Nothobranchius furzeri: one gene and its partners. The protein of the gene in region 2 interacts with the protein of the main gene of each other region in a biochemical or structural test. Links are inferred from orthologs where the notes say so. Each region holds a gene or a part of one and is shown on either strand. Other genes may lie near its edges. The genes, in order: polb, xrcc1 and aptx.

What was found.
Region 1: the proteins of xrcc1 (region 2) and polb form a complex in vitro, tested with the Homo sapiens proteins (5 studies listed by BioGRID, with this or other methods). The link is inferred for Nothobranchius furzeri from reciprocal best matches to the Homo sapiens genes XRCC1 and POLB.
Region 3: the proteins of xrcc1 (region 2) and aptx form a complex in vitro, tested with the Homo sapiens proteins (2 studies listed by BioGRID). The link is inferred for Nothobranchius furzeri from reciprocal best matches to the Homo sapiens genes XRCC1 and APTX.

Annotation. Positions count from the first base shown.
Region 1 is NC_091757.1:55,610,388-55,614,047, reverse strand, and holds part of polb (DNA polymerase beta), read left to right. Parts: intron 1-223; coding exon 224-290; intron 291-370; coding exon 371-490; intron 491-597; coding exon 598-656; intron 657-757; coding exon 758-807; intron 808-969; coding exon 970-1,021; intron 1,022-1,146; coding exon 1,147-1,201; intron 1,202-1,271; coding exon 1,272-1,344; intron 1,345-1,421; coding exon 1,422-1,492; intron 1,493-1,575; coding exon 1,576-1,662; intron 1,663-1,767; coding exon 1,768-1,835; intron 1,836-1,959; coding exon 1,960-2,099; intron 2,100-3,037; coding exon 3,038-3,132; 3' UTR 3,133-3,660.
Region 2 is NC_091745.1:68,550,197-68,553,856, forward strand, and holds part of xrcc1 (DNA repair protein XRCC1), read right to left. Parts: intron 2,064-3,660; coding exon 1,982-2,063; intron 1,892-1,981; coding exon 1,801-1,891; intron 1-1,800. UniProt on the Homo sapiens protein: Scaffold protein involved in DNA single-strand break repair by mediating the assembly of DNA break repair protein complexes. Negatively regulates ADP-ribosyltransferase activity of PARP1 during base-excision repair in order to prevent excessive PARP1 activity.
Region 3 is NC_091746.1:79,989,234-79,991,669, reverse strand, and holds the end of aptx (aprataxin), read left to right. Parts: intron 1-1,307; coding exon 1,308-1,411; intron 1,412-1,494; coding exon 1,495-1,649; 3' UTR 1,650-1,868; downstream 1,869-2,436. UniProt on the Homo sapiens protein: DNA-binding protein involved in single-strand DNA break repair, double-strand DNA break repair and base excision repair.

The DNA of each region.
Region 1 (3,660 bases), on a different chromosome or scaffold from region 2:
GAATGTAAAAAATTATTTAATAAAATAAAGAAGTAGAATAATTTTCAATATATGTATGGATAGAATGTCAGTTAGGTTTTCAAACTTGAATAATTGACTCAAGAAGCAATTCTGCAGGTGTTTGAAATCAGTTGTGTCACCACGGGTCCTTAAGGGTTAACATTACTTCAGTTTTGGTGTGTTTTTAAAACATCACATATGATTCCTTTTGTACGGCGAATAGGAAAGCAGCTTCCACCATTGCCAAGTACCCCAACAAGATTAAGAGTGGAGAAGAGGCCAAGAAACTGGTTGGTGATTTTTAGTTTTGTACACTTGCTGCATTTGTTAAGAAGTCACCGTTGTTTAATGTATTAACATACATGAAAAGTTGAAGAAAATCACTAATTTTCTTCAACTTTTCACAATTTTACAGGATGGAGTTGGAGCCAAAATAGCAGAAAAGATTGATGAGTTTCTTCAAACTGGCAAGTTAAGGAAACTTGAAAAGGTAAGTTTGGATATTTGCATAATGGATATAAGAGCAAACAACCAAATGTGTTTGGATTCAAACGCATCACACTGACTGATGTTTGCTACTTTAATATTTTCTACCAGATCCGAAACGATGACACCAGCTCTTCCATCAATTTCCTTACCAGAGTAACTGGAATTGGGTATTGTATTGTTATTGTGACTATTATTACAGTTAAAAAGTGTCGGGGGATGTTTACAATTAAATACACAATCACCACATCACTTGGTTTTCTGTCCACAGCCCGGCTGCCGCAAGGAAGTTCTTCGAGGAAGGGGTTAAGACTTTAGATGGTTTGTGAAACAAATTCCCCTAAAACAGTTTCTTGTTTAATTTCATTTCACATCCAATGACTCTGAGACTCTGATCTCCATTGTTTCCCATGAAGTTGTTGTGTACAAATTTGGTTTTATTTATATATTGATTCTCATGATACTCATGGTTTTTATTTTCAGATTTGAAAAAGGTAGAGCACAAGCTAAATCATCATCAAAAGATTGGGCTCAAGTAAGCTCAGCCAAAATACGCTCATCCCCCAGCACCACCACTTTCCTTCATTTTCTGTTATTATTTGATGGTTTTAAAAGTATTTTTAACATAATAAATGTGCTGGTGTTTTCTTTGGTACTTAGGTACTTTGAAGAATTTGAAAAAAGAATCCCACGAGCTGAAATGGAGAAGATGGAGGTGATTTTGAATATTTCTACTAAGGCTTTTATGCCTAGTTCTCTTACACTGATCCTGTGTTTTTGTTTAGACTCTTATTCTTGGAGAGTTGACAGAAATCGATACAGAATACATCGGAACAATTTGTGGAAGCTACAGGAGAGGTAACCCAAGTAGAAAATAATTAGTTTTTAATTTAAGGTTTTAGTTGAGCTTTTTAATTAAGGTGAATAATTTCCAGGTGCAGCATCGAGTGGTGATATTGATATTTTATTGACCCACCCAAAGTACACTTCTCAAACCGAGAAGCAGGTCAGACCACCGTTTATTCTGTGGCTCATTGTTTTCTAAAGTAAATGCAGCTTTCTCTCATTTAAGCGTTTCTCATTTTCCAGCCCAAACTCCTTCATGCTGTGGTTGAGCATTTGGAGTCTGTCGGCTTCGTCACCGACACTTTGTCCAAAGGAGACACCAAGTTCATGGTGAGGCCTGTTTTGTTCTCAGCTGAGGAAACACACCAACCCTCCGTTGTACATGACCCTTTTCTTAATGTCCTGGATCTAGTGGTTTTTTCCCCTTTTCTCTAGGGCGTCTGTCAGCTGCAGCCTAGTGATGATGATGAGGAAGAATATCTTCACAGGCGTATTGATATAAGGTTAATATGGAAGTCTTACAGATTTTAATACATTAGGTTGCTTCAAAATAACGATTGAGTAATTCTGTCTTTATTCAAATAGTTTTTTTCTTGCTAGTTATTGATTTTCATTTCATTTCAAAAGGTTGATTCCCAAGGACCAATACTACTGTGGAGTTCTGTATTTTACTGGAAGTGACATCTTTAACAAAAATATGAGGACTCATGCCCTGGAGAAGGGCTTCACTCTTAATGAGTACACCATAAGACCACTTGGTGTCACTGGTGAGTCGAACAAAGCTAGATACACTCAGAACTTTGTTCAAGTTCTCAATAACCAGACATCATATAGACAGACACCCTGTGGACTTGTGCTGCCGTGGCAGGCTGCCATCTTGGATGGGTCTCCATTCACCCCCAGTGCATTTATTTCTACTGTTTAATGTATTTACGCAAATAAAAATACTTTTATTATGCTTTTTCACAAAGTCAGACATATGGTATGGCATGATAGTTAAATATCTTTTTTGCACATTATAAAAACTATACAATAATTTAACTATACACTTAATATAAATATAAATACACACTACAGTACTGGGTGACAGAAACAGACAGGCAAATTGATGATATTTCAGTGCAGCTTATTTATTGTGCAAGTTTGAGTTAATTATGGTGATAGCTTTAGGAAAGAAGCTATCCCTGATTCCATTTGTTCTGGCCTGTATGGATCCGAAGCACCTGCCAGAGGACAGTAGGTTGAAAAGATGGTAGTTTTTAGCTGACCAGGAGAGGTCTGCAGAGATATGGATGCCAATACACTTCGAAGACTCCATTTGGTCCACAGATTGTCCATTGATGTGCAGGGGGGCAGGGGTCATTCTGTTCCGCCTGAGTTCCTTGGCCTTCCCAACGTTATGTTCCAGGTTGTTTAAAAATAATTACATAAAATAAACATAAAACATCTCAAATGTAAAATCCCAAAAGATAGGCTAGAAAAGTCCCACGTGATCTGTTTTCAATAGTGCGTTGGTTGATGCAACCATAAGCTGTACAAAATAAAGGCGTAGTTGCTCACTCTTCATTGACTCTTGGGTTTAGAGAATGGGGAACCCATCCAATGTGGTGGTGACACCGTTACACTCTCCAACGCCCAATGAGGTGTCTGTCTTTGTCTACATTATTTACAGCAGTTCATTCTTGTATCTTTTAATCTGTTGTAGGAGTGGCTGGGGAGCCTCTGCTGGTGGATAGTGAGAAAGACATCTTTGACTACATCCAGTACAAATACAGAGAGCCGAAGGATCGCAGCGAGTAAAACAATGCTACAGCTGTCCTGCAAACAAGATTTTACTAGAAACAAGTGTTATGCTTTTGCCATACCTTCATGACGCTGAGAAGAAAGTAACTGTGAAAATGTTTTTAATGATTTGTGTTGAAATATTCCTACCTAAATTGAAATGGTCATCACTCTTGTGAAAAAAACGCTGTATTTATATGTTGACTTTACACACAAACATCCTTGTGAACATAACTTCAACTTGTTTTTTATCATGTAAACAATAATTTATTTGACCTTATTTTTATTAGTTTTTATTGTTACAAAAAAACAAAATGTCTAGATAAGTCATTTTTTAACTGGAATGACCTATTGCATGTAATGTATGTGCTGAGACTCGTGTTTTTCTTGACGATGGTGCTCTTGAATACAGCTTACTTGTACTTTTATTTCTTATTTGGCTAAGTAGACAAAGGGGAAAGTGGTAGTAGACGTTATCATGCCAATATTGTGCTTGCTTATCTGTTTGGGGGAAAAATACATGTTCGAATGGGACATAATAGCATT
Region 2 (3,660 bases):
ATTAACTCTAATAATGTCTGAGAGGTAAATCTGCTTTAAATTCCCCCTGGTCATCTGGGGAAAGGAGTTTACCGTCTAATTTAAATGCCAGGTGAGTCCTTGCTTCTCTGAAACATACATCAGCAGACATAACCTCGCTGGCAACATGGCTATTACCATAACCACCTGTGTTGTCGAAGAGGGAAGCATCTCCCTATGTAGGAGGTGTGTTGGTGTGTCAGCGCATGTTGTTCCGCCTTAATGATGCACCTCAGCACTTCCCTCCTGGCCTCACATTAACATAGAAATGAGAATCATGCACAAGTCCCTCCACAGTGATTACGTCCAGCCTCCATCTCCGCTCTTTTCCCTTCGACTACACCTACAGTATGAGATCTTCCAGCGTCATTGTTGTCCTCCCATCCATTTCCAAGAGCCTCATAAAGGTCAGGCCTTTAGTCCAATCCCTGGACTCCTGTTTCGTCCCCCAGCCCCTCTTCATTCATCCAGTCCTCTTCATCACCACGGCTGCTCCCTCTCAGTCTAGTTATGTGAGCTAATAGAATCGACCGCCACGTGTCGCAGCTACCTAATCTCAGCTCTTAGATGAGTTTATTACAGATATCATCATCTTTATGCATCGAGGGATTTGAGGTGAATGAAGGTTTTATTTCTGCTTTGATTAAAACCCTCACCTTGCTGATTAAAAGCATGTGTGGAGACTTAGTTTGTAGTTTCATTATGTGACATATTAATTATTCATTGCAACTTTTTATTTGTGGCATGCAGCCTTGAGGTTGTGAAGAGAACCTTGGATTAAAGTCTGTATGGAAAAACAAAAGGTAATAAAAGCTGAGCTTAAAGGGGAGATTAGTAGAATCAATGTTGATTTTTGGGAGATTGGTTTATTTGTTAGAGAAATAAAGGGTAATCGTGTTTTTCAAGGACCCGTATCGTGTTATTTTACACCTTCCAGAGCTAAGATAGGCACAATATGTCATATAATATTACCGTTGGCACTACTGACTCTGAGTAGTAGCAATTTGAATCGAAACCTTTACTTACTTACTTACTTAACCTTCTTTTCTGACCAAGTCCTCCAAACACACCCACATCACCCCGCTTCTCCTCCAGCTTCACTGGCTGCCAGTCAACTTCAGGGTTCATTTCAAGATCCTGGTTCTGGTCTATAGGGCCTTACATGGACAAGCGCCATCTTACATTGGTGACCTTCTTAGTCCGTACACCCCCAGCAGGTCCCTGAGGTCCAGTGATCAAAGCCTACTGGTTGTGCAGCACCAGGCTAAAGACCAAAGGTGACAGATCATTTGCTGCTGTGGCCCCCAGACTCTGGAACTCTCTCCCCCTGAGCCTGAGATCAGTGGACTCAGTGGTCTCCTTCAAAAAGCAGCTGAAGACTCACTTGTTCAACGTGGCTTTTGTATGACCTTCTTCACCACTCTCTTTATTCTGCTCTCCCCACCTATTCCACCTTCCTCAGGATCCACTGATTTCCCTCTTATCTATTCACTCTCTCTCTTTCTTAACATTTTTTAATCACAACTGTCTATTTTTTGCTAATTTTAAATATATTTTTAACCCTTTTCTAAATTATTTTTTATATTTCGACATTTTTTTGTTTTTGTGAAGCGCCTCGTGATTTTTATCTTCAGAGGCGCTATAGAAATGATATTTTCTTCTTCTTCTTAAAACCAAATTTTATGGTCAGTTTCACAAAACAATGAGTTTTGTTTTAAACCCAGTAACTCTTTCTAAAGTGTGAGGATGAAAACAGACAATTCTAGTGTAAAAGTTGATTACCTGGTTCGTCCACATCAGTCGAGCCACCGTACTCATCATCTTCATCCTTCTTTATTGGTGTCTTTTTAGGAGTCTCCTGCTTCTGTGGAGTCTAAACCATCCCAAACCCTGAGTTTTAAAACTGACAGATCTTTTTTCCCTCTTATTATATTTATCGTCTCACTTAGAAAACCAAATGGACCTTTGTTTTTATGTCCTCTTCACTCTGGTCATCCACCTCCATTTCGCTCTCCGAGCTCGACTCAGCTCCATCCATCAAATACCTGAAGGAATAAAGGAAACATTAAGTGTCAGGATGACAAAAGGCCAAAGAGCGAAAGAACAGCTGAACAATACATCTTAGGCTCCCTCTGGTTTACTTGTGTGACATGATTTAACGTGTAATCGGCTTTTGTCGGGCAGCGTTTGCATTTTGGAGTTTGGAAGCTGGCAGAAGGCGTGCTTAGGAATTTATTTTCATTCCAAAAATTCTGCAGTGATTCAGCAGTTCACTTCAGCTCAACGGTTCAGCTCAGTTCTTGAGAAAGCTTCAGAACGGCCATCAGAAGCAAAACCTCTCTGACCCATCAAAGCTTTTGACATGTCGTCAAAATCTTTTTGCACCTGCAAAGCTGATACAGCAAACAGTTCATGCAGAACAAGCTGATATTGTTTCAACTCCTTAAGAGTCCGTCTGACGCGCGGTTCCATCCAACTGTCGTGACCAGAGACATCTCTGGACTGGAGAAGTCGGTGCTGTGATCAATCTACTGGACCTGGGTGCCAGAGGTCATCCGACCTTTCTGACCTTAGGATCCATGAAGATGGTCTCCGAGAACGGGTGAAGTAGAAACACAGATAGCATCTGATGCCTTTTGCTAATAATCAACTTCATAGCTTAACGCAAACCAAATTCTTTACACCAAGAACTCAGCTTTCCTAAATACGGAAGTTCTGATAACATCACATTCACACATAGGCACCATACACTACATCTACTCCATCTAGATTCATCCATTCACAGTAAATATTAGTTAACTTGTCATGTTTTAATTGTTTGTGAATTAAATTCTTACTTTTATAAACCTGACTCTTTTCTGAATCAAAACGAAGTGTTTACAATCCCTGAATAAAACAAAGAATCCTAGAATCTTCTGATTAAACACCAAGACCAAGCAGGTTGATATTCTATACCAGGGATTCCCGAAGTGTGGTGTGCGCACCCCTGGGGGTGCGCGAGCTGCCGCTAGGGGGTGCGCGGGGTGAAAAGTGTAATGGCTGCGGAGCTCAGAGAAGTCTGTCATATGTCACCATTAGTGTAGAAACTCATTTGTGGGTGGGCCAAAGAAAAAGTAAGTGGGCCCAATAAATGTAATTGAAAACAAGTATATTTTTGCGCGCGTGTCCTCCACATGTGCCCTAGCTTCATAATAACAATGCGTCGAGCTTCAGCACTCTGGCCTGCGCACGCCGATATGTTCCGTATTTGATCATTTTTAACGGTGTTGGAGAAATCTGAAGGTGATGAGTCATTCTGGCAGATTGTAATTAACACCTGTCTCATGCAGGTGTTCTGACATTGTAAACCTCACACACAGAACATTGTGGATGTAACAAAATAACAAGAAATGATTCCCATTCAGGCTATTGACAGCGCGCTGAAGATCTGAAGTTCAGAGTGCGTCTGTCAGAGGTCAGACGCGTTCCGGCTGAACCACGGCTCACGGGTGCACATGTGAGCACATCTGGGCAGGGCAGAAGTCATTTTACAACATTGGTTTAAATAGCGCGAGACGCGGTGACTTGAGCGGCTGTGCCGTGCGCGCGCACACACACAGATTCAATAAGCGCACACGCTGCTTTAACTCCGGTGCGCCGTCA
Region 3 (2,436 bases), on a different chromosome or scaffold from region 2:
TAAATGATACAAATCCAAACATTCGAAACATAAACAATATGTAAACAAATCAAAGAAACACCACTTGTTTTCTCATATACTTGTTTTCTTCTTTATCAAAATGAAAATCTAAAACTCCAGTCCACACTTGACTTGAGCACTGTACAAGTCAACCTTAAGAAATATGTATTTAAAATAAATAGCCACTTTAAACAAATTACTAAAATAACTACTACACTATGTAATCAAATCCAAATGTTCAAGTATAAATGGCATTGAATAAGTAAACAAATCAATGACAAGGAACTAATTGTATATTTCTCTTCATCATCAACAAATAAGATGCTTCATCCAGCAACAGGGTGTCCGTGACACGGTTTAAATGCTGGCAGAGGACGCTGCGGCTGCAGCATATAGTGACTCGTTGCATTCTCCCTCAACCAAAAGTCCTCACGTCATGCATTTAAGCTAAAATGCTAATGCTAACTTACCTTGCACTGGCTGTAGAGACGTGAGTGATCGTCACACAGATGTGCCATTAGATTCAAAGTGCCTTCTGCAGACACTTGTTTCCTGCACCTTCTGCAAACGGGATAGCAGTCTTCTATTAACTGTCCCTCAGCGTTTTTCAGAAATCCAAAATATGCCCATACTTCCGATTTAGTCTTCTTTGAGGGCTGATGGATGTCCTGGGCGCTGCCGTCTCCTCCTTCGGCCGTTATTTCAGCTTCAAAGTTTTGGTTGCAAACTAAAAAGTGCGTGTGCGCGGGAACTTCAGCAGAAGCGACGGTGGCTGGTAAGGGTCACCGCGCCTAAACCGCGGCCACGGTAAACCCACCGAGATAATTTAGTTTTTTAAAAACTGGACTGTTATTTTTATTGTCAACTTTTTTTACCGTTTACAGCTATACCGGTTACCGTGACAACCCTAATCCAGACATTTGTATGATTCAGCTCTCAGAGATCACCGTGATCAACACGTTGTTAATAATTCTTGGAGAGAAATAGCTCGCACTGTCGGAAAAGACGAGGACGCGGTTAAAAAATGCTGGAATGCCATGTTGTAAACAACAGTACTTTCTACTTCTACTATGGTGTAGTGTTGGATGCATGCTGTAGAGCTCCATGCTGCCCCCTACAGTTTGGGAGAATATTGGCTCACCGCAGAGACAAGCCGCATGAACCATAAACGCTGCGAGTTGTGACGCGCGTTCCATCCGCGAGCCGCATCACCAAGCGGAAAGTAAATGCATCAAGCATAAACCAAGCTTAAAACTCTGGTAGGGGGTGACTTGCTCTTTAAATCAATATTCTACAATCTGTTTCAGTCACATTCACCTCCATGTGATCAGCCAGGACTTCGACTCTCCCTGTTTGAAGAACAAAAAACACTGGAACTCTTTTACAACCGACTACTTCATGCCGTCTCACGGTGAGAACAAATATTGAGTTTTTGGTAGCTCAACAGTCTTGAAAGACGAACCAAAACACACATCTGGGTTTTTCTTCCTACAGACGTCATCCGGATGCTTGAAACAGACGGGAGGGTGACGGTTAAAGAAGGCACCAGTGAGCTGTTGAAGCTGCATCTCCGCTGCCACGTGTGTCACAGAGAGATTCCCACCATACCTGCTCTGAAGGAGCACATCAAATCTCACTTTTCCAAATGACACATTGGTTTAAAGAACTTTACAAGTTCTTTGTTCCTATTTTGTAGAAAAATGTTTAGTTTCAGCAAAAACTAAAAATATTCAAATAACAAAAGTGTCGATTATTTCAGTTGAATTTTTAACAACGTGTCACATCAGGCATTAGGACAGTTAAGTCCAAGTTGTTTTTGTTACCATTATCGTTACATATGCTGCATTAAAGGCTATCTAAGAGCTAAATTCTGTTTTTTCTCTCGACATGAAGCATATTCAGGAATTTTTAAAAGATGGCTGCCTTATTTACAAAAGTTAATTAATAGTGAATCACAGAAAATTTGAGGAACTGCAAACCTAAGCCGGTGTATTGCTGCCCCCTGCTGGTTTTTGTAGGTTACATCATCCTAACGCGCGAAGCGTTCAAATTTGTGTCCCTAAACAGCAACTGTTATTTCAAGATGGCGCAAAGCTGGAGCGTCGACCACGGGTATGTGTCTAAAATGTAAAATTAAAAGCTAATAGGAAGACTTAGAATAAACGCTGGTGAGTAATCTTAATTAAAAAGAACAAGTCTGTGAATGGGTTACACAGAATATGATAATAAACACACTGAGCCCAGATTACATTCACAAATTCCACCTGTGTTAAAACGTTACATCTAATTCAGCAAGAAGTCATTTTTAACATACAGTGTCAATACTTTTCAGCTCTGCATTATCTCTGGTAAAATGATACACGTTAATTTTGATGATCAGTTGTTTTGCTGCCAATCAAAAAGGGCCGTTTAGAGGCGCTTGTTGTTTTATTTTAG